2 linked regions of the Tribolium castaneum genome follow. The protein of the gene in region 1 binds, or shares a complex with, the protein of each later gene. Links are inferred from orthologs where the notes say so. Each region holds a gene or a part of one and is shown in the gene's direction. Other genes may lie near its edges. The genes, in order: ribosome biogenesis regulatory protein homolog and Non3.

Region 1 (4,389 bases):
TGACTGGCGATGATGTGCGAAAGTTGACGCAAGCCGAAGACGAGTGGTGTGTTAAGGGGCGTTTCGAGAGGATTTTCCCCACCTCGCAGACGCACAAGTATTTGAATTTCATGGAAGTTCGGTATTATAATCGGCTGTTTGATGCGTGGGAGTGCCGATTTGAGAGGAACAGGCAGGAAGGGATTAACTTATTGAAGGCGTTATGCGCCGAAAAAGTGCACTTAAAAGTGGCGCCGCAGAGTACGCTACACAAGGTAATTTCATTGCGTTAGTTAAGTGTGGGGGTTGAGTTTTTGTTTCAATTTTTTTTGTTTGGGTGGTACTACCTACCAAGGCGAGACATTTCGTACTGGCAACACTGCAAAGCGTTTGTTCACAATGTCGCAGTAAGTCGGGACGTGGTGTTGTTTGTGTGTCTACACTAATGGCATATGAATTTTTTTCTATCGTCTAGTTCTAATTCCCGCAGGATTTTAGTCATAGCAGATAGACACGTAATAGATTAAAATTACTAATAGGTAGGACATAGGAGTACTAATTTCGTGTTAGGGGTTTCTAGTCACAGATGGCCAACTTAAAAAGCTCGGTTGAGTTAATTTCCGTCCAGATGGCGCGAATTTTAATTCTTGTGTCGAAACGTGTGCCCTTTTGAAAAAATTGGAGAACGGTGGACAGGTGTGGGAAAGTGGATATTTTTTTCTAAGGAGTCGGCCGTCTGTATGTCTGTGTAGTTGGGATTTTAGAAGAAACTGGGCATTTATTGAAAGCAATTAAACATTTATTACGTTTTATAAATAAATGCCCAGTTGGGCAAATAGTTGCACGACTTAGTTAGGGTCCCACAGTTGGTTGGGCCAATCTGACAGCTTGTAATTCCCCAGAATTCGCTGAGTACGAGCCATGGGTGTGCGAGTCTGCAGCCGTCGAGGGAAGGCCAGAGTCGGCCTCTTGCAGAAATCCTGCAAGAGGTCACAATCGAAAGCTCTAGCTGTAATTAACTGTATAAGTGAGTTGTTTGTTGCGGTTTTTCCCGTTCTAATCAAGTGGCGGTTTCAGATGGAATTCTAGAAGTGTGTTTCTTTTGTTACGAATGAGGACAAACACCAGCATTTAAACTGCCAAATTTGTACGTTGTTTTAATTCCTTGTTAAATTATTGTAGCGAGATATTCCATTTACATTTGCATTTACAGCAAAGTGTTTTTTAATTGATTTTTATTAGTGTATTGAGTCTGATGAATAAAATATTTCTTTTACATTAAATGTCTTCGTCTGGGTCCGGGACCGCGTTCCTCGGGATCTCAATCCTCTGGACTGTGACGTTGAGTTGCATCCTTATATCCAGCAAAAAGCACAGAAACAGGATAAAGAGGGGCACCTTGAGACGCAGGGTGTAGCCCAGCTTGAGCAGAAAAAGCAAAGGTTCGGCGAGTGGCATGACTCAGCACCACCACGATCACATTTTTACAAAGAAACGCCCAGATTTTGGCAAAATATTTTGAAATTGGTTGACATTTGTCAGCGACAGGTGTCAGTTCGCCAGCCGAATCTGGGGATTTTCGCTCCACGTGTAACCGTTTTGTCGCAAGTGAGGTTAGAATCCCCAGACAGGTTTTAACAACATGGATGTTGTTAAAACAATTTTGGAAAAATCGGCCAAAGAGGCCGAGAAATACAAATCAGTGGAAGTTAACAAGTTGGTGAGCATCGATTTAGGCGCCTTGCTGGCCGAAGACCTGAACCCGCTCGATCCCGGCGCGTTGAGGTGAGTTTTGGGGTCCGCTGAGCACGCTTTTCTGACCCAATTTTAGGAGCTCCACCAACGATTATTTACTGAATTTGACTCGGGATAACACCCAGTTGCTGTTTAACCAAATCTGGGAGTTGCCCACGGAGCGGATAGACGAAGCAATTGTCGCGAAGTTGCCCAAGCAGAAGTTTTGTTTACCGCGCTTCAAGCCCGTGCCGAGGCCCAGGCCGCTGACCAAGTGGGAGCAGTTCGCCAAAGCCAAGGGCATAGTCAAGAAAAAGAAGAGTAAGTTGTCTTGGGACGAGCAGCTGCAAAAGTGGATCCCGCTGTATGGTTTCAAACGGAGCGCCGCCCTCAAGGAGAAGGACTGGCTGATTGAAGTGCCACAAAATGCGGACCCTTTGGAAGACCAGTTCGCCAAGAAAGTCGAGGCTAAGAGCGAAAAAGTCGCCAAGAATGAACTGCAAAGGCTGCGCAACGTCGCCAAAGCGAAAAATGTGAAAGTGCCCAGGTTCGGGCTCACCAACCCTGAGGTTTCGTCCGCAAAAGACGTGAGTTTTTGTATTTTTATCGTGTGTACGGCCGGAAATTTAAGTGTTGCACCAAGTTGAAAAATACGTGAATTTGTGTTGTTTTATTAAACGTTTAAAGTAGTTGCTTCTTTTTTAATAATAATGATATAACAATAAGCCGTCTTTATTCGAACCGTAAATACAACTCGGGAGGCGAAATTGAACTTAATTCCCTTAAGAAACGAAGAAGTAAATGAATAAATGAATAAATTAAATTGACAAAAATTGCTCTAAAAAAATAATAGCAAATAAAGCAAGAAGAAAATAACAAAAAGCAAAAACAATTTTGGAAAAAACTATAGATCTAAACATGAGTGACAAATAATAAGGCCATAGTTAAAGTTGGAAAGCATCAAAAAAGATTGGCGGAGTTTTTGTCAAATTTTTTTCTGAACCTTAAAAAGGTAAAAAAAATAAAAATTCAAAAATTTAATTCTGGATTTCCGGAAAAGTAAAACTAAGCTAGCTTTTAAAATACTGTTATGAGCGATTTTTCACTTGTATAAAACCAAAAATTAAACTTTTATGGAAAAAAACAAACAAAAGAAACAACAAAAAAATAATAGAATAATATAATATTGGCATTAAAAAAATCAAGTTAGCCTTGTTTCCCCAGAACAAATGACGACAGAACTTTGATACACATCTGAGACGATAGAATTTACATAATTTCGAACATATACCAAATTTCATTAAGTTTTGATGAATAGTTTTTATAATATTTAAATGGATGCCTGCATATGATCTGAATAATTACATAATTTACGAATTCTGATATTTCTGAGCTGTATATTAAAAATAGAAATGGTCCCAAAATTGAGCCTTGTGGGAATTCCGGATGTAATGTTATCTGCCTTTGATTGTGAGCTGTCTATAGTAACAATTTAGTTTTTATTTGTTAAATACGAATAAAAAATTTGGAATTTTGTTAAAACCTTTAACATAAAAAGTATTAACTTTTTGTTTTCGAAATCAAAATGTTTGATTTTTAGTTGCAAGCGGCGGTAACAGTGGCTAAATCGTCAACCGCAAGTCTGGGAAAATTCCAAGACAAGCTCCCCAAGGAGAAGGAGGCGAGAGGCGTCGCTGCTATCACTCCCGGAGCGACGAGAAAACGAAAATTACCTCCAATTTCGGGTCAAAACGAGAAAAACCAAAACCTAAATCTCGTAGACGAGGTTTTGAACAAACGACCGAAGATAAATATTGAAAAAGCGGTAGCCCGACAAATAAACGACGAACAAGCGCAGTGAGTGTTTTACTCAGTCGGTGGTCCAAAAAATTCATATATTTTTTTTCCCAGGAGATCTGATGAGAAAAACCGAACTGGGCGCAAGAAAGGCCTGCGAAAGTCTGGAGGCGGCAAGAAGCCGAAAAACACGAACCGGCCCCGAAAGGGCAAAGCCGCCGGGGGCCGGAAGCGGCGCTAGTTTTGTTCCAATTGTATATTTTTACTTAGAGGTGAGTTTAAACATAGATTGTTTCTCCCTGTTTTTCCCATCCAAGACTCGGGTCTTTCGACACGGCCATGTAGACCAGAGTGCCCTCGCCTGGGAGGGGCTTAGCCGCCACGTAAGTCCGCTTATCGCTCGACCAGCGGCACATGAAATCGCGGCCTCGGCTCTCGTCAGCCTTAAATTACAAATCAGTTTTTTGTTTCAGTTAAGACGATTTGTTACTTTAGTGTCGAGTGGAGAAGGGCCGAGATAATCTTCACCTTGGACTGCCTTGTGGAGGACTTGGAGGAAGTACTTGAAGAAACTGTTTCGGTTTTTCTTCACTGTTGTATCGGTTGCTTTCAATTGACGCAACTTCAAAATCCATTTCTTACAAATTTCTTTGTCTGGAAGTGTGTATATAATCTAGAGTGACTTTTGTATATAACCAAACACGTTTTGGCCCATCGAAGTGGGCGAGAATTGTGGTTTTGTGCGCTGGATAAGGTTCCTAACAGTAGAGGTTTTACTGTTACGGAATCGGGGTGTATTTGAGAATCTAATAAAATCTTCGGAAAAAAATTGATTTTTATTTCCACTACTCGTTAGAGCATTTTAACTGTTGCCCTACG
Region 2 (4,479 bases), on another chromosome or scaffold:
GCCTCATATTTTTCAAAACGCTGCGAATACGGTTACAGATAGAAGAAAAGTGTTCAGAGGAAAGTTGTAGAGAATTAAATTTCCTTTAAAAAAGTCCGCAAGACCATATCTCTATCTTTAACCATTTAGGCCCCAAAGCCATTCAAAGACGCTCAAGCGATGGATTTCCTCCATTTTGCCGGTGGTCAAGTATTGGAAAATTAATTTATAGCCAAACCGTTGAAGATAGAAATATGGTGTCGCGGACTTTTTTGTAGAAAATTTAATTCTCTACAACCTCGCGCCTTTCATTTTTTTGTATCTTCAACCGTATTCGCTGCGTTTGCAAAAAGAACGCACTAATTCTAAGCGATAATTTTTTTGGGCACCGTCGCTTATTTATCAAAACGCTGCGAATACGGTTCAAGATACAAAAAAATTAAAGGTACGACGTTGTAGAGAATTAAATTTGCTACAAAAAAGTCCGCGACACCATATTTCTGTCTTCAACGGTTTGGGTATAAATTCACTTTCCCATACTTGACCACCGACAAAATGGCGGAAATCCGTCGCTTGAGCATCTTTGAACGTCTTCAAAACCTAAACCGTTAAAGATAAAGATATTGTCTTGCTGACTTTTTTAATGGAAATTTAATTCTCTACAACTTTCTTTTGAACATTTTTCTTGTATCTTTAACCGTATTCGCAGCGTTTTGAAAAATACGGGACGAAGCACAAATTTTAAATTCAAAATAATTTTTTTCTCATATTTCTCATGAAAATTTTAGTCGTCAGTTTTTCTAAGTCTGTTGAGAATGCAAAGCTTAACATTTCTGCATTTTTTTCCAAGTAATTAGTGCACTGCTTGAATTTAATTAATTTTTTTTTGGTTTTTTGAAACGTTAGGCAATCAACATTACGCATGTTCACATTTGATGAAACATTTCTGAGATTTCAATGACAATTGACGATTACTGAAAAGTACTATTTTACGGACGATTTCAGAAACAAAACTCTAAAGTTTTTGGTAAAAAATGTTACGTTAAACATATTTATGAGTGATTTTTTTATTACCTTCAATAAATTGATCAATTTCCTGTGTATTTTCTAACTCTTTGCTCTCGTCCATTGTAACACAAAAGATCCAAAATTGCCAAGTTTTATTAAACTCAATGTCACAGCACGTTTATCTATTTTAAATAGCCATTAGTAATGGATTTTAAAACAATTCTTTGTTAGGTACAGTTATTTATTTTTCAAAAATCCCTTAATTAGGTAATAAATCTGAGGCTAAAGATAAAACCAGTTGCAAAAAACTGTAATTATTTACGGAACGGCTTAAGTTTTTAACGATTAAACTTTGGCGCCTTTAACCCCAGACACACCAACCTAAACTTCGCGGTTGCAAATTTTAAAATAAATAGCGTTTTAGGCCCCACTTTAAAACCGAATTAAATCCGCTTTATTTTCCGGTTTGGTTTCTATCGTTTGGCGCAGTTTCATGTGAATATTTGGCCGTTTTGTTGCAAAATTCGTCAAAAACGTTGGTTTTGCCCCGTGAGGTTGGTACGGTTGGAGCAGGGTTAGTTTTCATTCCAACACGTGTGGACAAGTTTACACTGAAAAAACCGTGAAAATAAGCGCAAAAACTAGTGAAAATGGTTGTAATCCAGCGTGTGGTGTAAGTAGAAGCCCCCTTTGCCCCGATTTCCGCTCACGCGGGCCCCAATTTGCAGTAAGGCGACCACACGTAAAGGCAAAAAGGTGCTCCTGAAGAAAGAGCCGCAAGTGGTTGAGGGCCCCAAGAAGGCGCTCTTTTTCCAGGGCAGGCGCTCGTCGGAGAAACTGCGCCGTTTGGCGAAAGATCTGTACGATTTGAAGAAGCCGGAGGCGCAAATGCTCAACAAGAAAAATGATATAACGATTTTTGAAAATGCCACTCCTGTGGAGGCGTTCTGTAAGAAATATGAGTCGTCTCTGTTCGTTATGAGTTCACATAGTAAAAAAAGGCCGGACAATCTAGTCATTGGTAGGATGTTTAATTATAGTCTGCTGGATATGGTGGAGCTGCATGTGGAGGCTGCTGAGTTCATGAAAGACTTTGCCTGCTCGAAAATAGCGCTCGGGACGAAGCCCTGTCTCGTGTTCAACGGGCCGGCGTGGGAAGAGACTGAAGTGTTGAAACATCTCAAGAGTTTGTTCATTGATATGTTTCACAGGGAGGAGGTTAATTCAGTCAGGTTGCAAGGGTTGGAGCACACTATTAGCTTTACTGCTACGCCAGAAGGGAAGATTTTGATTAGGTCGTACAAAGTTATGATGAAGAAGTCGGGGTGTCGGGTGCCGCGGGTGGAACTTGAAGAAATGGGTGAGCTTCGTGAAAATAAGTCAAGTTGCTTGTTTTTCTAAACAATTACAAAACTACGAAGGACTATAAGTTAGGAGACGAAACGAGATAAAAAATCGCACCCAAAGATGTAGTACGGCAGTGGAAAAATGAGGGCGCCTCAAATCGTGTGTCAAATCGTTTTAAATTAATTTAAATTCAACCAGTTGACTAATTACTTGGAAAAAAATACAGAAATGTTGAGCTTTGCATTCTCAACACACTGAGAAAAACTGACGACTAAAATTTTCATGAGAAACATGAGAAAAAAATTATTTAAAATTAAAAATTTGCACTTCGACTCGTATTTTTCAAAACGCTGCGAATACGGTTAAAGATACAAGAAAAATGTTCAGAAGAAAGTTGTAGAGAATTAAATTTGCTTTAAAAAAGTCAGCGAGACCGTATCTTTATCTTCAACGGTTTAGGCCCTAAAGACACTCAAGCGACAGATTTCCTTAAATTTTTCGGTGGTTAAGTTTTGGGAAGTGGATTTATACCCAAACCGTTGAAGATAAAAATATGGTGTCGCGGACTTTTTTGTAGCAAATTTAATTCTCTACAACGTCGTTTTTTACAATTTTTTGTATCTTCAACCGTATTCGCAGCGTTTTGATAAATAGGCGACGGTGTCCAAAAAATTATCGCTTAGAATTATTGCGTTTTTTTTGCAAACGCAGCGAATACGGTTGAAGATGCAAAAAATTGAAAGACACGATGTTGTAGAGAATTAAATTTTCTACAAAAAAGTCCGCGACACGATATGTCTATCTCCAACGGTTTAGTTATAAATAAATTTTCCAATACTTGACCATCGGCAAAATGACGGAAATCCGACACTTGAGCGCCTTTGAATGACTTTGGGGCCTAAATGGTTGGAGATAGAGATATGGTCTTGGGGACTTTTTTAAAGGAAATTTAATTCTCTACAACTTTCCTCTGAACATTTTTCTTGTATCTGTAACCGTATTCGCAGCGTTTTGAAAAATATGGGGCAGAGTGCAAATCGGTAAAACTTTGAAATTTTTTAAAATATAGTTTAAGATATAATTTTTTCACTATTTTTATCTCATATTATTAAGAATTTGATTCTCTATCTGCCTGTATTTTTTATTTGCCTTGTGCTAACCGTTATTTAATTACAATTTTTATAAATTTATTGCTCTGAAAACAGACGGTAATAGAACAACTGCGCCTCTGGCGGCATTAATCGAACTATCGAGGACGGGGACGTTTTATTTGTACGTCGTTTTTTACGAGATTTTTTAGGATTGCTAGAAATATTTTATTTAAGCTTTGAACGTTTTCAGATAAAAAAATTCACAATCAGTCACATCTCAGTATCGGTCAATTTTTTTTGTATATCTTATTATTTTAAACACATATTAAAAAAATATATTGAATTTTCTAATTTTGTTGAGCCAAAAAACCTCAATTCTCGTCAAAGCTGTGGTTAAAGTTTTTATTTTGATTTAATAATACAGTTAAATTTAATACATACAGTTTTGCACCAAAAAAATGACAATTTTACAATTTTTTTATTTGTAATTGTACAATAAATAATCTCCCTAATAAACATTAAACATCGTATTTTTTTCTGGCAAAATCTCCAAGTGAACATATTGAAAGAAATATAAAGAAATAAACTTGACGATTTTTTTTCTTTATAAATTTTTTGAGTGTTTTCTTTTTTTTTGAATTTTAGAAATTATCAAATATTTTTTGCAGGTCCCAGAATAGACCTCAGCCTTCGCCGAAGCAAACTCCCCAGCGAAGACCTAATGAAAGAAGCCTTGCGCAAACCTAAAGAACTCAAAGTGAGCAAAAAGAAGAACATTAGTGTTGACGGCTTGGGCACAACCCACGGACGCATCCACGTCGGTAAACAAGAAATCAACAAAATCCAAACCCGCAAAATGAAGGGCTTGAAAAAAACCACCGACGAAAAGAAACTCAAACGAGCAGCAAAGAGAACAACTGACAATAACAATGTAAATAATAAAGTCAAAAAGCAAAAGCTTGGATAACGCGTCGGTGCAATCTTGTTGATGATTATTGTGTATAAATGGTTAAATTGTCTAGTTCTAAGGCTAGTTTTACGTGTATTTTTTATT

The links.
Region 2: ribosome biogenesis regulatory protein homolog (region 1) and Non3 share a complex: the UniProt entries of both Homo sapiens proteins name them as parts of the hexameric 5S RNP precursor complex. The link is inferred for Tribolium castaneum from reciprocal best matches to the Homo sapiens genes RRS1 and RPF2.

The regions. Positions count from the first base shown.
Region 1 is NC_087399.1:2,010,203-2,014,591, forward strand, and holds ribosome biogenesis regulatory protein homolog, read left to right. Parts: upstream 1-1,395; 5' UTR 1,396-1,621; coding exon 1,622-1,764; intron 1,765-1,810; coding exon 1,811-2,300; intron 2,301-3,313; coding exon 3,314-3,570; intron 3,571-3,624; coding exon 3,625-3,751; 3' UTR 3,752-3,766; downstream 3,767-4,389. Other genes in the region: tubulin monoglutamylase TTLL4, read left to right, coding at 1-254, 335-386, 882-988; uncharacterized protein LOC103314109, read right to left, coding at 3,789-3,953, 4,001-4,164. UniProt on the Homo sapiens protein: Involved in ribosomal large subunit assembly. May regulate the localization of the 5S RNP/5S ribonucleoprotein particle to the nucleolus.
Region 2 is NC_087400.1:407,722-412,200, reverse strand, and holds the start of Non3 (ribosome production factor 2 homolog), read left to right. Parts: upstream 1-1,505; 5' UTR 1,506-1,637; coding exon 1,638-1,660; intron 1,661-1,715; coding exon 1,716-2,347; intron 2,348-4,093; coding exon 4,094-4,392; 3' UTR 4,393-4,479. Other genes in the region: organic cation transporter protein-like, read right to left, coding at 1,054-1,108. UniProt on the Homo sapiens protein: Involved in ribosomal large subunit assembly. May regulate the localization of the 5S RNP/5S ribonucleoprotein particle to the nucleolus.